Ovis aries: one gene and its partner. The protein of the gene in region 2 interacts with the protein of the main gene of each other region in a biochemical or structural test. Links are inferred from orthologs where the notes say so. Each region holds a gene or a part of one and is shown on either strand. Other genes may lie near its edges.

Region 1 (10,339 bases), on a different chromosome or scaffold from region 2:
TATACTAAGAACCACTGAACACACTTTAAATGAATAAATTGTATGGTATGTGAATATATCTTGATAAAGCTGTTATAACATAATGGAAAGTGTTTGTGAGAGACAGGCAAGGTTTCAAATAGAACACACAGTGTTACATTTTTATCAGAGATAATTATACACACATCTGCATAGGGAATATGCACTGAAGTTTATAGTGATTTTGATTATTTTTACGCCAATGCTTTCCTTTTTTTTTTTAAATTTGGCCATTTGGCATATGAGATCTTAGTTCCCTGACCAGTGATCGAACCTCCGCCCCCTGCATGGAAGCTTGGAGTCTTAACCACTGGACCACCAGGGAAGTCCCTAGGTTTCCATTTTATTTTTTAGGCAGTGAGCTTATATGACTTATACAATCAGGAAAAGGAATGCATGTTATCGTTGTTCCCTTTCCCTCTTTATTTTTTAACTGTTGTAAAAATGCACATGACATAAAATTTATGTGCCAGCAAAAGTCCGTCTAGTCAAGGCTATGGTTTTTCCAGTGGTCATGTATGGATGTGAGAGTTGGACCATAAAGAAAGCTGAGCACCCAAGAATTGATGCTTTTGAACTGTGGTGTTGGAGAAGACTCTTGAGAGTCCCTTGGACTGCAAGGAGATCCAACCAGTCCATCCTAAAGGAAATCAGTCCTGAATATTCATTGGAAGGACTGATGTTGAAGCTGAAGTTCCAATATTTTGGCCACCTGATGCGAAGAACTGACTCATTGGAAAAGACCCTGATGCTGGGAAAGATTGAAGGCAGGAGAAGGGGATGACAGAGGATGAGATGGTTGGATGACATCACTGACTCGATAGACATGAGTTTGAGTAAACTCCGGGAGTTGGTGATGGACAGGGAAGCCTGGCATGCTGCAGTCCACGGGGTCGCAAAGAGTCGGACACGACTGAGCGACTGAACTGAACTGAAGATAAAATTTACCACTGCAGCCATTTTAATACGTACAGGTCAGTGGTATTAAGTACACTCACCATGCGGGATAACCATCACCACTCTCCAGTTCCAGGACTTTCTCATCCTCCCAAACAGAAACCCTGCCCCCATTCAGCAGTCACTCCTCATCCCCCCTTCCCCAGCCCCGGGGAAACCACTGATCTATTTTTCAGCGTCTCTGGATTTGCTTGTACTGAATATGTCTCATGACTGGAATCTTATACCATGGGCGCTTTTCTGTCTGGCACTGTTACTTTTTTAATGGAGCAGTTAACCACTGTCTGTCCATACTCCAGCAGATTCCCTGCCTTGTTAGTCGAGGGTCTGGGGGTGCCTCTGGGTGCTGACATCCTGAGCCGACCCTGAAGCAGAGGTGGGAGGCTGGGCGGCTGGGTGAGCCCAGGAGACGGCCATGCGTCTCTCTCAGGCCCATGTGGGTCCCAACTTCAGCCAGAGCCGGGGCCATTCATTACCCCTTCCACTCACCTCCAAACGTATCAACAAGCCCCGCATCTTTCCCCTCCACCCCCGACTCTCAGACGATGAAGAACCTGCCCCCTTCCTGGGCAAGGCCAACTCACAAGGCCGCCGAGTCACCAGAGTCCCCACTCTCTCTTCCTGCCACCTACTTGTCACTCAGCTCTCAGTTTGAAAGTTCCCTCCTCAGGGAGCCTTTCCTGACCACTCTGATCAAGTGGCCCCCAAGACTCTCTCACCTCCCTGTTGATTTCTTCCCTTCAGTGATCATCATCTGAAATAGCTAGTTTATTGAATTGTCCATAGACTCAATGGATGTGAGTTTGAGCACACTCTGGGAGATAGTGAAGGACAGGGAAGCCTGGCGTGCTGCAGTCCATGGGGTCACAAAGAGCTGAACACGACTGAGCGGCTGAACAGCAACAGCATCGCTTTGTCCACGTGCTTCGTTTGTTTCCCACAATGCGTGATGGCAGGCTCCCCTCTTGGTCCTGTGCACAGCTGTGTCCCCACTCCTTGCTGGTCAGAGCGCCGTGAGCAACAACTGCAAAACGCATGGATTTCAGTGACGCTACTGCCTCCTTCCCTTTGGCTCATACAAATTGTTCGCTTCTCTCCCCGCCTATAAATAAATCAGTAAACTCCTCCCTTGACTCCACAACCCTATCAGCCTCTTCTTTCTGTCCAGAGCCGTTGACCCTGGCTATTTTCATACAACTGTGCTGACCCGCTGCAATCCCCCTCACCCTTTGCCACAAGCGCTCCCTGACGCCGCTGCTCTGGCCAGGGGATCCCAGACGGCCCTCCAGCCCATGGTTTGCCCCTGAACTTCAGAATTGTATATACAACTGCTTCCTAAACGGCAGCACAGTGGATGAGGAAAGGCTTCCCGGAGAGGGTGACATCACAGAGTGTGAGCAGGTATTAGCAGGCGGCTTCGAGGGCACCCAGGCCAAGGCCACGTTCTGTGCACGGCTGAGTCCTAGCAACTGCACCCCAGATCTCCTTCACCAGACGAGATGGCCCAAGATGCAGACCTGACATCTTACTCCTGTCCGGGCCGAGCACAGGGCCTGGTGCATTCAGGGAGCGTTTACAGAGCTCAACCAAAGAGCTGTAGGCGGCCAGCCGTTCTCAAGGTGCGCGGAGTAGGCTGCAGTACCAGTCACCCCCTCCTCCAGAACCCACCAGGCCCAGGAAGGTCAGTGGCTTTGAAGCCAAAGCCAGCGGCAGCCTCGTTTCAAAGGAGAACATGGCTCTCTGGAAAGATGTTTTATGTAAGAAAGAGGAAAAAATAGCTCCTCCCTCCTGGGGCCCCACCACAGTGCGGTTTTGGTGTCAGCTATTACCCAGACGCTCTCAACCTACATCGAAGCATGAGGCACCATCACGGGACACTAATGGATTTTCTATTAAGTATCAGGCTCTGCAAGGAGGAGAAACTGGGGCAGGGAGAGTGCTGGCGAGAACCCGAGAGCTGATTGTCGGAAGCTGGTGGGGGGCTCCACAGCTGCCCTTGATCTTCTGGAGGTGGTCTTTTCTGGGGATTTATGGAGCTGCTTGGCGAGCTCTAACCAGAATCCACCACTCCCTGTTCCCCTTGTCAGAGAATGCGCAGAAGCTGGCCTGGGCAGCTGGTCAGACTCCTCCCTAGGCCGCAGCCTGACTTTGTTTCCCCACCGAGTCCGCTCTGCTCACCTGGGAGCTCTGACCACCTCCCCTCTGACTTTCCAGGGATTGGATGGCGTCTGGGGCGGACTTCTGGGTCTACACTGAGTCATCTGGGATGACTTTACCAGGTGAAATGAAGCAGACTTCACCAGCTGCTGTGGTCTGAATGTTTGTGTCCCCCCCCTCCAAAATTTGTGTGCTGAAAATCGAATGCCCCGGGCGATGATGGTATTAGGAGGCTGGGCCATTGGGAGGTGACTAGGTCATGAGGGTGGCGGTCTCATGAATGGAATTAGTGCCCTTATAAAAGAGCCTCAGGGATTTGCTGGCAGTCTGGTGGTTAAGACCTCATCTCCCAGCACAGGGGGTGCAGACTTGATTGCTAGTTGGGGAGGTAAGGCATCCCACATGCCTCTTGGCCAAAGGAAACCAAAACATAAAACAGAAACGATGCTGTAAATTCAATAAAGACAAAAAAAAAAAAAAAAAGGTCCACATAAAAAACCTTTTTTTGAAAAAAATAAAAAAATAAAAGAGCCCCATACAGATCCCTTGCCCTTTTCATCACGGGAGGACAAAACCAGAAGTTTGCAATCCAAAGCAGGCCCACACTCAAGCATGCTGGAGCCCTGTTCTCAAATCTCACGCCTCCAGAGCTGTGAGAGGGAAATCCTGTTGCTTATAAACCACCCAGTCTGTGGTAGTTCGGTTACGGCAGCTGGAACAGATTAAGGCACTGCTGCTGCTGCTACTAAGTTGCTTCGGTCATGTCTGACTGTGTGCGACCTTAGAGACGGCAGCCCACCAGGCTCCCCGTCCCCGGGATTCTCCAGGCAAGAACACTGGAGTGGGTTGCCATTTCCCTCTCCAGTGCATGAAAGTGAAAAGTGAAAGGGAAGTCGCTCAGTCGTGTCCAACACTTCTTGACCCCATGGACTGGAGCCCACCAGGCTCCTCCGTTCATGGGATTTTCCAGGCAAGAGTACTAGAGTGGGTTGCCATTGCCTTCTCTGATTAAAGCACTAGGGCTCACCAATGTTTCTAGAGGCTTCCCTCATAGCTCAGCCGGTAAAGACTCTGCCTGCAATGCAGGAGACCTGGGTTCGATTCCTCGGTTGGGACGGACGATCCCCTGGAGAAGGAAATGGCAATCCACTCCAGTATTCTTGCCTGAAAAACCCCCATGGACAGAGAGCCTGGCGGATCCATGGGGTCGCAAGAGTCGGACACGACTTAGTGACTAAACCATTTCTAGGTCTTCCCGTCTTCCTGGACACACAGAGGACTACATTTCCCAGCATCCTTTGGGATCAGTGGTGTGATTAGTTCTGGCCAATGAATATCCACTGAAAATGCAGGGATTCGCTTCCTGTCCCGCCCCCACCCCGCCCCGCTCACCCTCGGAGTCCTTAAGAGTTGATGGACAATCTTCTAGGCTCTCTTCTTCTACAGGGAATCTTGGAGCTTCATATTGAGATGGAGAGAATCTTCTGGGTTGAAGGAATCATTCTATGTTCTGCATTCTACTAATATTATTGTCTGTATTCTATTCATCTACATTTTGATCAGGCTGGTGGTTACAAGGGTGTATGCCCTATGTAAAGTTCATTAAACTGTACGCTTAATGAATGTGCTTTACTGTATATCTGTATTACCTTAATTAAAAAAAGAAAAAGAAAAGCAACTCCCACAAATCAAGCAAACAAAAATCACGAAAATTTAGGACAGGACTGGAAGCTTGAGCATCACTATATTTCTGATAAATCTTTCGTTAGATGTTTCCTTAGCTCCAGGCTCCCACTCCTGGCCTGAGGAAGGCCTGCCTGGCTCCTGACGCTCCGGGCCCACGGGGCCCAGTCCCCCAGAACAGCGTCCCTAGAGCCCCACCCCAGACCGCCTGTCCCTTAGGGCCCTGCCGCGCCCTGCGCGCCCTACCTTGCGGCTGAACTCCTGGGCTTTGCGCCTACGCTCTCGGTGCACGGCGTCGGGGCGCTTGCGGCCGGCCAGGCGTAGCAACTCGCGGCCCAGATAGAGGCCGCGGCTTGAGCGCGGGATCCGTAAGGCTGTGGTCAGCGGCTCGAAGCCGGAACCCGCGCCGGGGCAGCCAATGGGGCCGGGGAGCACGCCCAGGCTGGGCGGCACGCGCGGGCAGCGCCGGGCCAGGCGCACTAGGCGCTCGCGGCTCAGGCCGCCCACAGCCAGCCCCTCCACCTCCAGGATCTGATCCCCGGGCCGCAGACCCCCGGCGTGTGCGCTGCTCCCTTCCACCACATCCAGGACGAAGCAGGGACCCGAGCCCCCCAGCCGGAAGCCGAAGTCCTCTGGCCATCCCTGGTTGGTGGCCGGCATGGCAGTGGTGGCCGTGCAGCTGGAGGAGAGAGAGGTCACAGGGGATTCCTTGCGGCCTTGCCCACAGGGCTGCATGCCGCTCAGACTCAACGCATGTGCCAGTCTGAGCCACTGTTCTTCCTCGGCCTCTGTGTGGACCATCAGTTCTTAGGATATCGCCTGACCTCCTGGACCCGGCTGTGCCTGAAAGTCACCAGTTTCAATGTGACAAAAGGACTTCCCCTCAGTAGTTAGGAGTTCACAAACTCCTGCTGACTTTGGGGGTTATTTGCCTTTTGAATTGATCTTCTTGAGGAGCCATGATATGGCTGCTTTGGGGTGGGGGAGGGGATCGTCCTTTGGGCTCCTGGCTCTAGGACAGGCTCAGGGGAGGGGAGGTGGCTCTATTCTCTGAAAGCAGATGATGGCATGGGCTGGAGACACAAACACATCAGGGGTGGCAAGGGTGACTGCCTGGATGGAACAGTCTATCTGTGTATTTTTCCATATGTCTGATGAGAGCAGAGATTCCTTACAGGCATCCATGGATGACCGCTGAAACTGTAGGTAAGATATGATGTAAAGCCTTAGTTTTCTGGGGGAAGAGTCCGTAGTTCTAAGGAATTCTAACCTCTGGCTTAGAAGAACCTCTCGGGGCTGGATTTTGAAGGCCCTGGTTTTGGTCCCCCCCTCAGCCTTCTGAAGATGTTTAGACAGCCCTCCCACCCACCCTACGGGTTTTGTGTTCCTGTTGGCTCCATCTCCCAGGAGCTGGCCTCTCCCAAGACACTTGGAGTTGGGGGCAGGGAGGAGGCCCCAAGAGTATCATGGACTGGGGAGGAAAGGCCTTGAGTGACATCCAGTGGGACCTGTCACCTGCCACCAGAGGGCTTGGTGTGAGAACTCCTCACACTGGGTCAGGTGGGGCTGCCACACCCCGAGGCTGGCAGGCTCACTGCCGAGCCCACGCGGGGGCCCTGGTCCTCCTCTGCCAGGCAGTGGTGCTGCCACGGAGCCTCAGGGACACTTACCTTGTCACATGGGGGCAGTGAGGGACTCCTGGGTCCACTGGGCCCAGGTGGGGTCGGGGCATCCCTGGGTCTTGGAGGGGCCTGAGATCAGTTCTTGCCCCGTGAGTCAAGCAGTCAGCTCGTTCACAGGCAAAGGCGTGCTGGCTGGAGACTGATGGGGCCAGGCCCCTGCCCCCCTTCCACGTGCATACTGGCTCTGACCGGTGACCTGCAGCAGGGCTGCTGCTCAGAGGCCAGAGCAGCTTGCTCCCAACCTGTCTACACCCAACCTGGGGAGCCACAGAGCTGAAGAGGCTGCCGGCACTCAAACCCCTCGGCGCTTTTGAGATGCCTCCAGCCCTCCAGTGCGTCCTCAGCCCTGCAGGTTGACCTAAGCCCTCTCCCATCCATGTAGAGCTCCCCTCTTTCCCCTTCACCTGGAAACAGGAATCCAGGCTCCCAACAGGGCTCACCAGGGGAGGCATCCCAGGCTACCCGTCCCAGAATCTTGGGTACCGCGCCTCCCTCCGGGTTTGCTCACCTTCCTCCCTGGTGGTGGCAATGGCTGTGGGGACAGAGCACGGTGCTGGCGGGACACCTGGGGACGCTTGCTTATTGCCAGTCCTCTGCTGCTCAGGGCCTTGGCACTGGTTACTAATGCATCAGAGGTGACAGCTGGAGTTTCTAAGGCAAAGTGATCCTCCGAGTAATCTGAGAAGGCCCCCGTTACCAGGAGGACCAGCAGCATGGCTGGACAGCTTGGCCAGCACCCAGAGTGGCTGGCTCCTGCTGCACGGTCCTGGGGGGATGCACAGGGAGGCTCAGGCAGGAGCCAAGACTGACCAGAGCTGGGCCTGGGGCTGGGTCCACCCCTGAGGCTGCAGAGCTCGGCAGGTGCGTCAGGAGGATTCAGTTGGGCTGTTTTGGGGGTTCTATGGGGGTTCACTCAGTCCAGTGATGGCAGAGGGGACCACTGAGACTCACTGAGGCATGATCTGATCCCCACAGAGGACACCACTGCCTGAGCCCCACAGGCCAGGCTTAGTGGTGGGAGAAGGGGAGACCCAGGCCAGAAAAAGAGCTTGGGATGAGAGAAAAGATGCTGACCTAAGTAATTATGGAAAGGACCGGGGTCTGTGAGACGAAAGGCAAAAGGAACCACGCATAACACTGTGCTCTAGACGGTAAGGGTGGCCCCTGCAAGGGTGCAGGTTAACAGTTCTGAAATCATGCCATACATGCACATGGGCGTTGAGCGATTATGTCCGCAGACCACGGGAGCCGGATTCCTCTGCGTTGTAGTGGGAGGTTGCAGAGGAGCCTACAACAGACAGAAACGTTTACAGATATGCGCATGGACACAGCTTAGTGGCAGTGGCAGTGCTCGGTTGGATCTGACTCTTTGTGACCCCATGGACAGCAGCCCGCCAGGCTCCTCTGTCCACGGGATTCTCCAGGCAAGAATACTGGAGTGGGCTACCATTTCCTCCTCCAGGGACTCTTCCGACCTAGGGATCAAACCTGGGTCTCCTCCATGGCCGATGGATTCTTTACCACTGAGCCACCTGGGGAGCCCACAGAGGTTAGTATCTGCACCTAAGTTTGCCGGCTCTGTCAGCTGAGAGGGCTTGGAAGCAAGGATGTTCCCCCCAGCAATGAGCACATCCAGTGTGAAAGCTTGATTTCTAAGATCCCTGCCCAGAACAAGGAGCCCAGGCTCCTTGGAGAAATGGCTGATTCCAGGGCTGGGGCGGGAAATACAGGAGGTGAGCCTGGACCATCTTCTAGTGCCAGAGAGTAAGCACGTGTGGACACACACACACACACACACGCACCATGGGGTTTGTCAAAGGGACACAGAAGCCAAAGGAAAGGGCTTCCCATAGCCGAAATTGGAACAATCTGAGCAAGAATGTAAATCATATAGACTTGGGTTGTAACATAAAGTATAAAATAAATATCAACAAGTTTACACTAATATAAATAACTGGTTAAATAAGTGGGGAAAAGAGACAATCACCTGGACAAGCTACTTCTCCTTAAAGGAGAACTCCCACCCTTAAGTGTGGTCTATACTTGGCGACTTCTTTCCAAAGAGGAGACAGTACTTTACGGTGGAGAAGAGTGATGGACATGACCTCAGTCAGGTGGTCAAGGTGATCACCATCAGGGGAAGATCAGGTTGATAGCAAGGACCCTTTATATGATTGACAAGAATGGCACTTTGCCTGTGTGGTCTTCCTCTGCAAAACCTGTAACCAGTCTGCCTATGAGAGAAACTTCAGGCAAACCTAGATTGAAGGACGTTCTGAAAATACCTGACTCTTCAAAATGGTCAAGGTCATCAAAAACAAGGAAAGTCTGAGAAGCTGTCACAGATTGGAGACGTGGTGACTAGATGCAGTGTGGGATCTTGGGATGGAGAAGGCACTTTCGGTGAAAAGTAAGGAAATCTGAATTAGCTAATAATAATGGATCAACATTAGTTCTTCAGTGGTGACAGATGGACCACAGTAATGTAAGATGACAGCAATAGGGGACGTTGGGTGCAGGGTAAGAGGGAACTCCATACTGTATCCCAACTTTTCTGCAAACCTAAAACTGTTCTAGAATTAAAAGTTGATTTTTAAATCGTTTTCTCAGGATGTGGGGGATGGGGATCAGATAGATTAGAAGATGTCCTTAACAGGTCGCCGTGATTGAGCTGGATGCTCTCCAGAGCTTGCTTTAACCAAAGGTGCTCCAAGTTACTGCGTGTGTGACTGGGTGTGTATGTGTGAGATGGGTGTGCTCTAGTGTGTGTGCTCTAGTCTCGCGTACATTATAAACTCTGCTACGATGATAACAGTATATCATTGGGAAAAAAACAACCCATGAGTGAACAAGAGTGTCCCCAGCCTGGTGGAAGGGTGACTGAGGCTGTAACTGAACTCATCTTCAAGCGCAGCTCTGAATGCGTTAGGCTGCAAAACTGTTGTACTGCGTGGTAACTGGACATAAACCAAGGTGGTCACATGGCTGATTTACTTGGGCTGCTCTTTCGTCCTCTTGATTAACAACCTGGTGTTTCTCTACGTGGTAAAAGAATGGATTCCCTGACACCACTGATGGGAATGTAAAATGGTACAACCATTACGGAATACTGTCTGACAGTTTCATGAAAGGCTGAACATCCGAAACACTTTTCGAATGACACCGGTCCCACTCTCAGGTATATACTTACCCGAGAGATACAGATTCAGTGAACATGAATGCACTGACAGGTGAGTACATAAAGTAGGTGCGGTACTACTCAGCCATAAAAAATGATGAAATAATGCCATATGCACCAACACGGATGGACATACAGATTGTCATACCGAGCGAAGTAAGTCGGAAAGAGAAAGGCAAATATCATACGGCATCGCTCACGCGTGATCTAGGCGTATCCAAATATGAACCTAAAATCTGATACAAATGAACCCACCTAAGAAACAGGAACAGACTCCCAGACATAGAGGACAGACTGGCTGCCAGCAGGGAGGTGGGGGTAGGGGTAGGGCTGGATTGGGGGCTTGGGCTTAGCAGATGCAAGCTATTACATACAGAATGGATAAACAGCCGGGTCCTACTGTGTAGCGCAGGGCACTGTATGCAATATCCTGTCATAAAGCATGATGCAAAAGAATATGAAGAATCTGTGTAGGTGTAACTGAACCCCTATGCTGCATAGCAGAAATCAACACACCGTTCTCAACTATACGTCAATAAAAGAAATTAAAAAAAAAAGACTTGGACATGAATGTTTATAGCAGCACAATGCACAGAAAAGCCAAAAACTGGAAACAATCTAACTCATCCATCTCCTGGCGAACGGAGGGACAGATTGTGGTCTG
Region 2 (10,546 bases):
CGGAAAAGAGGCCAGGAGGGCAGGGTGGGAAGTTAAGAACCGTCTACTCATTTGCTCCCGTGCAACCCTCACTCCCTATCTAAGCCTCAGTTTCTTCTGTAAAATGTTCGCACCCTCAAAAGGTTGTTTTGAGAAGCAAAAATGGGCCACAAAGATAAAGGGATGTGGTAAACAGAACTCCCTGAACAGCAAGGGCTTTCTTACTGCGGCAGGGGCTCCTCTGGGCAGGCTGAAGGGACAGAGTCCATGGGTCTCAGGTGTTGAGAGGGTGGAGGGTGAGGGAGCCTTCCCCGGCCAGTCCCAGGGAAATTCCCCCCCAACACCTGAGACTCCCAAGGCTCCCCGAAGTCCACAATCACATCCTGCCTGAGCTCCAGCCAGGGGAGCATGAGGGATCCGGGAGGGATCAGGGTTTCATAAACAGGAAGAGAGGAGGGGAGGGGGAGAGACGCTCAGCTCTCAAAATAGACCTGCAGGCGCTTCCAAGGGGTCCAGCTCCGGAGATAGCCAGGGAGGGGGCCTGGGGTGCCCAGTCCACCTCCAGGAAGGGAGGGAGGGTGAATGGAGCCCCAGCATGCCTGAAGGACCAGGTGCACACGGGGAGCTCTCATCCTAGACTGCAGTCCTCTCTACAGCTGCTAAAACCCCAATCCTTTCTTCTGCCTGAAACGGATCAAATAAACAAGCATTAAACACCAATATGATGTCTCAAACACTGCTGGATGCTCCAATTTATGCACATCACGTTCCCTCCTTCTGGGTGGCCCTGACGGGTGGACTCTATTCTCCTTTTACAGAAGAGGCATCTGAGCCTCCGAGGGGTAAAACAACTCGCCCAAGGTCAGCTGGCAAATAAGAAAGAGGAGCAGAATTTTGAACTCAGAGAGCCTGCCTCTCCTCCAAGTCAGGCCTCTCCTCCCCCTGGAAGGCCCACTTCTCTCTCCAGCTGCCCAAATCCCGGCTTTCGAGGCCCAGGCAAACACCAGCTCTGCGGGGAAGGTGACCTGGTGCCCTACAGCCCACGTTTCCTCTTCTGCCACACACAGCAGTGCCCGTCCATCTGGTCCACCCTCAACCTTGAGAGTGGATGCTACTGGGTTCCCTGAGACGTGCTCATCTCATCATGCCCCAGAGAGGCAGGTAGGAAGGTGGTATATTTCACTGCCCACTGTCAGGCCTGGCACTGAATGGAGGTTCTATGTGCCCACAGCCTGTTCCTCCCCATCACTGCACCCACCACACAGCTTTCTTGTCACCACCCTTCCCCAATGCTGAGAACTCCCTGAGGGTGGGGTGTTGACTTCATTTTGGGATTCCCAGTGCCATGAACATGTGATGATGCAAAAGATAAACCAGCTCCTTCCACTGCACAAAGCGATGAGGTTCTGACCACAGGCTGAGCGCCCCCTGGTGTGTTGAGCCCAAAAGTGGGCACTGGGGATGCTACAAGATTCTGCAGCAACAGAGAAGGTGAACGAGCAGGTGCCGAGTAATGACGGAAACTGTGCTCACGGGGACGCAGTGCTCCTCCTCTTCAGCACTCAGTGTGTCTCCTGGGCTGGGAGGAATGTGGGTTCTGTGGTCAAGCAAGACCTGACTTCATTGCCCATTAGCGATCTGACCTAGGGCCTCAACTTTCTCATCTGTAAAATGGGGAGAGTAACAGTTTCTACCTCTGGGGATGTTATGAGAACCAAATGCAAAGCTCCTGGTATGGCACTTTCTCTCCCTTAACGTAGCATTCAAGGCTCTCCCTGCCCCATCCACGTCCAGCTTCATCTCCCTTCCCACCCCAGGATCTGCTCCAGAAGCAGGAAGGAATCACAGACTTGGGATCAAGAGTAGTTTGTCCACCTGGGTAAGTGCTTGTCTTCTCTTAACCAGCCCCTCTAGCTCTGAGGTGAGAAGCTGTACTCACCACCAGTTCCCTCAAAGCTGCAGGCACCTTTGCAACCCCTAGAACTACAGCCCCAAGATCTGAACATCTGGACCTTCACTGGAGACCTACAGTCCCTTCATTACTAGGCAACCAGGAGCAGCTACTTGGTGGGAAGAGATTCTCCCACAGGAGGCTGAGACATGGGGCTGAGACAAGTCAAGGGGCTCAGTCCACATGACTCGGCCTGGCCTTTGGTGACCCAAGGTTGCCATAGTAACAAAAAGAGGAGGGGTGGGAGCCTACTTCTGTTGGCCTGCCCTACCCCAGGAAACTCGGCTCCCTTATCTTAGGAGGCTGAGTCAAGACAAACATCAGGACCAGCCCTCAGTCTATCTCAAAGGTCAGGCTTATGGTCTGGTACCTAAGCAGACCCAGGCCAGAAGGGCGCGGCCACTAACAGGCAATGGAGCTGAGCAACACGGCCAGGCACTCAGGCTGCCAGGACTAAAGCTACTGTGTGCCAGGCAGCTGCTCTTCTATCTGTTCTTCACGTCACTCCTGAGAGGTAGGAGGCAGGTACCATTATTCCCATTTTACTGCTGAGGAAACCAGACTCAGAAGGGAGAAGCTTCAGGTCAAATGGCGATGGTGGAGGCAGGACCAGAACTCAGGTAGGCTCTACCGCCAGAACTCAGGCCCTGTCCTGCCTGGTGGCTTCCACAGCCCCTCCCCAGCCAGCAGCTCTGCGACCTCACAACGCCTTGAGAACTGGGTGAGGCCATTCCCAGCACGGCGATGAGAAAGCCCAGGCCAGACTGTCCCCCAGCCTCATAGTGCTGTCAACACACAAAACCAGCAACAGGCCCTGGGGGCTGAAGGGATAGACCCAAGGGGAGCAGAGAGCGTAGAGCTGAGGGAGCCGGCCTGGGAGGGGGCCTGAGAAACGGCCTGTGTGCCCCACGCCAGGCACTGGGCCCTGGTGTGACTGGAGGCCACCAGGCTCCCTCCAGCACCAGGTGCCATGCCCTCGTCAGGCCCAGTGGACTTAAGCCTCTCCCATCACCCCTTCACCCTCTTAATACAGTCAGCCAAGCCACCACGAGTAAATAAGCAGAGGAAGCGTCCTGGTCTGGGGGACGGGTAAACCTGAGTTCTAGCCTGGCTTCTGACCCTGTCTGGGCCATAGTCCACTCCCCTGAGGAACCGGAAGGCTGAAGCAAGTAATCCTGACATACGGGGCTGCCTCGAGCATTAGGTGGGCCCAGAGAAGGACTTGGGCTTCCCTGGTGGCTCAGATGGTAAAGAATCCACCTTCAACACGCAGTTCAATCCCTGGGTTGGGGAGATCCCTTGGAGAAGGGAACGGCTACCCACTCTAGTATTCTGGCCTGGAGAATCCCATGGACTGTATAGTCCACGGGGTTGCAAAGAGTGGGATATGACTGAGTGACTTTCACTTTCAGAGAAGGAAGGCTGAGCTGGGCCAGGGGGCCTCACACCTGGGCGGGACAAGGTCAGTGCCTCCTTCCTTGTCCACTCCAGGCAAACAGTCACTCCACCCCTGACGATCCCTAGCTCCGGTGCTAGGGCCTGGCCCTTACCTTGGATGGCTGAAGCCCAGCTTCCTCCCCTGAGGCTTGTCCATTCTGGAAAAGAGAGGAGAGAGTGGGGAACACTGTCAGAACTTACCAGAGTGGCACAAAGCAAAGACAGACCCTATGGGGCGCCCCAGCCCTTGGATGCTCCCAGTGGCTAGAGGGGCCCTGGAGGTGGGGGCGGGAGTTCTGGGAGGGGACAGGCCTCAAGCCTTCTGCAATCGCCCCAACTCAGGTAGCCCGCTTTGGGCACCCCTCCCATGTTCTCTGCCTAGAAAACATCTCATCTTTGAAGGTCCGGCTCAAATGCCATCTCCTCCCAGTGAGAAGGAAAGGACTGTGGGTGTGTGCCAACTAACCAACTCAAGAGGCCTCAGTTTCCCAATCCGTAACATGGGTATTTACATCCACCTCCTAGAGTTGATGCAAGGGCTGAAGGACATAAAGTCTGGGAGAGTGTCCAGCCCAGAAATGCTCTGGCCCTGCCTGCTCTGGGACCCCTCTCCATCCTTGCAGAATCACTGCTACTCCCTATGAACCTTCATTTTACCACTTATCACAATGCAGGGACTACGGACTCGTGGGCCGTGCGTGCTAAGTCACTTCAACTGTGTCCAACTCTTCGCAACCCCATGAACTGTAGCCTGCCAGGCTACTCCAGACAAGAGTATTGGAGTGGGTTGCCATTCCCTTCTCCAGGAATCTTCCCACCCAGGGACTGAACTCATGTCTCTTAGGTCTCCTGCATTGGCAGGCAGGTTCTTTACCTGGGAGCCCCTCCTAATAAACGGGAAGTCCTGGGAGGCAGAGATGAGGCTTTTGGTGCTAACAGCTGCTCTCTTCCGCGCCCCTGCTGCACGCCGGCACTGGCTTTGGTACCTCACATCTGTGGCACCATTAAACCCTCCTGACCTGGGAGGTAGGCCCGGGTCCCATTTGGCAGAGAAAGAAACTGAGGCGCAGAGAAGCCTAGTGACGGCACCTAAGCCACAATGCTGCTCAGCGGGGATTCAAAATCCGGTCTCTGACACCAGGAGGTGCTCAAGAGACTGAGGAAGAGGAGCCCAGCGCCCAGCCAGGGCAACAGAGATGCAGGCATGGCAGCTCACCCCTGCACAGTCCTCCAGACCCCAGACTTCACCCTCCGCTGGGTGCTGTCCACCCTGGGTATACCACCCCTTTCCTGTGTGATATGAAGTGAGTAACCTACCCCATCCGGGCCTTGGGAAGCTAAACGGAGCGGTCTCCAGCCCTCATGTGCAGCAAGAGTGTGGAGAGACCAGGAAGACCCAGGACTTTGGACCAGGGGCCAAGTCCACAGGGCAGCTGCAGTCTTGTTGGCAGCAGCAGGCACAGCTGTGCTTTCCCCATTATATAATCTCCCTGCTCCTGGAGCAGCACTCCCTCCCCGCCAGTCCCTGGACATCCTGCCCCTTGAACCCCCTTAATGCCCCTAATCCTCCCCAGGGGCCAGCGTTCTGAGGCTCCACCATACGTGTTCTCTCTCAGGAGCTTGGGGAGCAGGACTGGGTGGAACCAGGCCTGAGGGGAGGAGGAGGCGTGAGGCCTTCGTAGACGGAGTTCCACTTCACCCAGCATTGCAGACTCTTGACATAACTCTGGATGGTAACAAGGGCCTACACACCAGCCTCCCCCATTCTAAGCCCTCACCCTTCCTAAAACTCAACTGCAACCATTACATTTGAGTGACTCCCCTGGTCACTCACTTACTCCTTACTGAGAACTTTCTAGGTGCCAGGCCTCAAACTCTTCCACGGCTTCCCACTGCCTGTGGGATAAAGTCCCAGCTCCTTGGTATGGCATTCAAAGCCGTCATCTCCAGCTCCCACAGGTGATTAATGTGGGTTCTGGAATCTGACCTTGTGGGTTCAAATTCTGGTTTCTATCACCTGCATAACCCTGAGGTTACTGCATTTCTCAAAGCTTCAGTTTCCTCATCTGTGAAATGGGGATAAAAGTAATGTACCTCACTGGGTAGCTTTAAGAAGCAAGCAAAATAGTGTCTATAAAATAGATACATCCAGGGACGTCCCTGGTGGTCCAGTGGGCCAAGACTCTACACTCCCAAAGCAGGGGGGCCCAGGTTGGATCCCTGGTCAGATCCCACATGCCACAACTAAAGATCCCAAGTGCTACAACTAAGACCTGGGACAGCTAAATAAATATAAAAAAAAAAAAAAAAGTACAGCTTGCATATAACTGGTCCACAAACAATCACCATTATTACTATCCCGATTTTGGAGCTAAACTGAACAAGCTGAGACCCTGAACAGGCCAGCTTGTCCCCAAGCATTCGCACGGTGGCTCCTTCTACCAAGAAAGTCTTTCCTGCCCAGTCACTCCAGCACACTCCTGGTCTTCTTTGAGGACCTGGTTAAATGTCTTCTCCTCTGTCCATACAGCCTTAAGTCCTTTCCTCCCTCCTCTGGGCCTCACAGCACCGAGCAAACCTCAGATTAACTCAGGGAGGAGCCACGGCTTGTCCGGTATTGTCTCCTTGGCACCCAGCTCAGGGTCTGGCACATAGCCTGTCAAATGAAACCTCAAACCAGCAAAGCAAGCAAGGAGGCCAGAGTAGGTTCTATTCCTCCCATTTTTCAGATGAGGCTCAGAAGAGCTGAGTGACTTAACTGTGGCCTCTCTGTTAGCAGGTGACAGACATGGGGCTATGACCCAGAGTCACGTGAATCCCCAGTGAGAGACAGGAGGAGGTGGTGGGTGAACCCAGAGGTGGGCGCTTACAGGGCAGTATCTTGGAGGACTCAGGGAGCCTGTCTGGCTGCCTCCAGTCCCGGGGTCTGGCTTGGGTGCCATCCTCATGGAACGCCCAGGCCTGTAAGAGCTGATGCACAAGGTCTCTAGGGGGAAATGGGCGGCCCTAGCGAGAGCACTAGGAGTGCAGAGAGGACCACAGGTGACCTTCCCCTTGAAAGCCAGGGTCCTGGGAAGACAGGGCGCATCTGCCCTTCCGGACTGACTATTGTACAGAGGGTGGAAAGAGCACAGGTCTGCAGCCACAGAGACAGAGCCCCTGCTGCCGGCTCTGCCAGCCACTCGCTCTGAATGTGTCTGTCACATTACTTCTCGAGCCTCGGTCTCCTCACCTGTACTAGGCGGGCAGGTCTGTCTTGTTCACAGTGGCACCCTGCTGGTTGGAGAAGTACTTGCCGCATGGTAAGTGCTCAATAAACACTTGCTGAATGAATGAATGAGGACAATGATACTGACCTTGCAGAATACTGAATGGAAGACCTCGTCTATGAGTCTACAGGAAAGGCCTTCTGGCCCCTAAGAGGGTGGAGACTCTCTCCTCCCGCTTCCTCAGAGAGCAATACTCATGGGCACAGCGACCGAGGGCCCCCAGGCCATTGCGCCCCCTCCCCAGAGGTCAGAGATGGGTTCCAATAAGCATCCTTCCTTCCCACCCAAGCCACTCTGTCTTGGGAAAAAAAGCGTCCGGGGCAGTGTCTGGAGAAGCTGGGCAGCAGATGGACAAAGACAGCACGTGCCCCATAGGCAGGAAGCAGCCCCAGGAGTTGGGTTCAGAGCCCAGCACTGGCAACTCTGCCCGCTGCTGGAAGCTGGGGGCCAGGTGCCAGGGCTGGCGGGAACTACTAGCCCTCAGCCAAGGCTGGACAGGAGAGTGTGCCAACATCCGGAGCCTCTCCTGGAGTACCTTCCACCTGGCCGGCTTGATCCCAGCTCTTGCCTGTCTTTAAGTCTCCCCCCTACTAGGTAGAAGACAGCGAGAGATCTGGATTCTAATTCTGACTCTGACATTAATTCGCAGGCCAGGTCCCTCTGAGTTCAGTTGTTCCATATGATGACAGAGGTAATACTCCCTACCCTGAGAAGCTGTTTGCAGAATTATTTGACTTTAATAAGGCCACCCTGGTGGAGTGCGGTGGACAGCACAGAGCAAAGCTCTGCACAGCAAGGCTGGGCCTGCGGCCACGGTTACTGAGCCCAGCAGGGCCAGGGGAAGGCCCCGGCAGGATCCTCACCCACACTTCCAGTGGGGTGGCTCCACCTGGGCCACACCCCAGACAAGGCCCTGCCTCTGAGCAGCCCATTCTCGGCAGCTTCACAGGGAGGGCAGATCCCAGGCCTCTGCCAAATGCCCTGCCCAGCCCCTCGGCCTGCCTCCCTCCCGGCCAGGAGCCTGTACCTGCAGGTCAGGGTGCCGTATCACTTACGTGTCACCTGGGCTGAGAACAGCAAGGCCCTGTTCTCCAGTAAGAACCTGCACCCAACCCGCGCCCTGGCCGCCCCATGGCTCCTGTTACCCAAACAATAACACCGAGTCGCCTGGCACTTCCATGGAGTGGGGAGGAGGAAAATGGGCAGCACTCCTTAGGCCTCCGTACCCTCTCAGGCCCAGAAAGCAGAGGCCAGAACCCAGCCCTGGCCAGTGGAGAAACAGAGGTCCAGAGAGGCTATGGACTGACTGAGGGTCACACAGCAAATTCAAGGTGAAGCTCCTGGAGAAATCACAGCCCCCCTAAACCAAGGAAATAAGCCTGCCTTTTTTTCCTCTCAAAGTTCAGGTGGAGTAGGACTAAAACTGAATTGAGTTTCCTGTTTAAACCTGGTCCCTGCCTCAGGATTTCCCAAAGAGAAGCAGGAAGCAGTGCCCTGGACTGGGAATTGAATTTCTGGGTGTCTGCCTTCCCAACTAGTATAACCCACAGTAAGTCCCTCCCTGGCCTCTCCCAGTCCACCTTCCTCTAGGGAGGCCTAGGTCTCAAGTGTGTGCCAGGACAAAGGAATTTACCTCTGAGCGCCGCCCCCAACCCCTTGTGCCCCAGTCCTAGAGGGTGGGCAGCCCGTGGCTAGGGGCTGCAGAGGGCCGTGTTCCTCAGTTCGGAGGGTGAGTCAGCGGGAGAACTTCTGAGCTGTGCAGGGCCCGTAAAAACCCCATGGCAGGGATCCCAGAGCAATTTACTCCAAATTGCGCCTTCAGGTTGGTTACCTAATCTTGCCGCGCCCACCCTCCAATAGCCAGTGTCAGCGGTGACCATCCCTTTAAAGGGGCAGCACACTCCGGGTGCTGGGGACCCAGGATCCTCACTCAGCTCCCAACCAGCAGCCCTGAGGGGCAAGGCACTTGGTGGTTGCCCCAGGTAAGAGAGGGCAGAGGAGGGGATCTAAGTGGGGAGGGGTCCAAGCCCCAGCCAGAAGAAAATCACTTTGGGTCTCAGGCTCTCTGAGGTTTCCATCATCTCCCTCATATCCCCACATACCCCTGGAAAGGCAGTATCACCCACTGTCCTTCCCATAATGAGGCTGAGGGGAAAGTTTTCTCCATCTGCCAGTTCAAGGGCTTGACCTTGACCCTGGGGGGCACAGGAAGAGCAGGCCTTCTGCAAGGTTAGGGCCTAAACCACAGTATCCTCAGGAGGCAAAAGTTGCTTTTGGGAGAAGCTAGGCAGGCAAAGGCCAAATTCCCTAGAGGCCCAACCCTTCCTATGGGAGGGGGCAGGAACCAAGGACCTCCTCATCTCCAGGAATAATTTTCTCAAAGGTCTAAGGACTTTTCCCCATTCTTTTCTCTCCAGCCTGGGAGAGGTGACACAGGCGTCCTCTGACCCTAGCCTGGAGCAAAGAAAACCAAGGGTTTCAGTCCCAGACGGGCAGAGTCACCCCAAATTCCACAACTGCGACGATCAAGAAGGAAATCCTTCTAAGGTCAGCAGCGGAGACGCCGGGAGCCCTTGGGGTAGGGCCGCTGTGAGACATCAAGAAGTTGGCAGGGGGCGCGGGGGAGGGGGCTCCCATGACCCTCGTCTCGTGGAATCCAAGACATCTGGCATCCCAGCCCAGGTCCGTCTGCCCTAATGAAGGAACCTCCGACGGCTCCGGGTACAGGTCCCAGGTGTGTGTGGGGTGAGGCGGGGGTCAGATCTAAGCGCAGCACAGGATTCGCTCTCCGGGGTAAGGGGCTTCCTCGGGGCTTGGCAGAAAGGTCCCTCGCGCACACACACACGGGGCATTAGGGGGTGGAGCCGGAGACGAGGCTGGAGACCGGAGGGCACTCGCGCCCTCGCGGGCGCCCGCCAGGCTACAGCGGCGCCGCGAGCCGCCCCGCCCCTGCGGGGACTCGGGCTTGCCGGCCGCCGGCGCCCGTCCCCCGCCCAGCTCACTCACCTCCGGGTCCAGCGGCACCAGCTCCATGAGCGGCCAGGGCTCCTTGAGCTGGGCGAGCGGCATCGCGCCGCCGCCGGGCCGCCCGTGCTCCACCGGCGGCCAGAGCCGCGCCGCCTCCTGGGTTCTGAGGTCCCACGCTCAGCGGCCCCAGCGCCCCCTTCCTCCCCGCCGAGACCCTCTTGCTCTGGCAGGGCCGTCCGCCGCCGCCGCCGCGGCACTAGCACTTCGGCTCCCTCCGTCACCCGGCGCCGCCGCGCCCATTGGCTACCTGCGCGAGGGGGCGGGGACAGCGAAGCCCCGCCCCAGCCCCCGCGGCGCGGCATTCCCAGGGAGGACCCCCGCCTCCGCCACGCCGGGAGTGAGGGCCCCGCCTCCACCGTGAGCCCCGGGCCCACGCTCCCCTCCACCCAGGAGAGGCCCTCCTGGCTCCTCCCTCCCAAGCCCGGTCCCCGGGGCCCAAACCGCCCCACACTCAGCTCATTTGGAATAGCTCCCCAGATGCCCCCTCTCTCTCCAGCGGGCCTGTACCCCTTTATTCCCTTTACCTCCCCTATCTCCCCTCAAACCACCGCCGCCCCTCCCCCCCACTCCCAGTCACACCGAATGTCCTAGGCCTGACCCAGGGAGAAGCTGGAAAAGGAAAGGAGCCTGAGCCGTACTCCCCTCGTTGCGAGGCCCTAGGACACTCTCCGCATCCCACCCTCCCACACCCCCAAAGCGACAGTGGGATCCCCTGCGCCCCAGCTCCGGGCAGGGTACGGATCTTCTTTCGCCACCATCAGGGCCCACAGTGCCTCCAGACTGATATCTTAATACGTGTGCTTTGCTCTTTTCAAGCCATGTCTCTCCAGAATCTCTCCAGCTGCAAACCTGGCTCCGGGCTGATTTGGGTTTGTGCCCCCTC

What was found.
Region 1: the proteins of RPS6KA1 (region 2) and GRID2IP interact in a test that uses a peptide from one of them, tested with the Homo sapiens proteins (2 studies listed by BioGRID and IntAct, with this or other methods). The link is inferred for Ovis aries from reciprocal best matches to the Homo sapiens genes RPS6KA1 and GRID2IP.

The regions. Positions count from the first base shown.
Region 1 is NC_056077.1:38,809,734-38,820,072, forward strand, and holds the start of GRID2IP (delphilin), read right to left. Parts: upstream 5,482-10,339; 5' UTR 5,476-5,481; coding exon 5,062-5,475; intron 1-5,061.
Region 2 is NC_056055.1:240,328,262-240,338,807, forward strand, and holds the start of RPS6KA1 (ribosomal protein S6 kinase alpha-1), read right to left. Parts: upstream 4,916-10,546; 5' UTR 4,901-4,915; coding exon 4,685-4,900; intron 3,526-4,684; coding exon 3,481-3,525; intron 1-3,480. UniProt on the Homo sapiens protein: Serine/threonine-protein kinase that acts downstream of ERK (MAPK1/ERK2 and MAPK3/ERK1) signaling and mediates mitogenic and stress-induced activation of the transcription factors CREB1, ETV1/ER81 and NR4A1/NUR77, regulates translation through RPS6 and EIF4B phosphorylation, and mediates cellular proliferation, survival, and differentiation by modulating mTOR signaling and repressing pro-apoptotic function of BAD and DAPK1.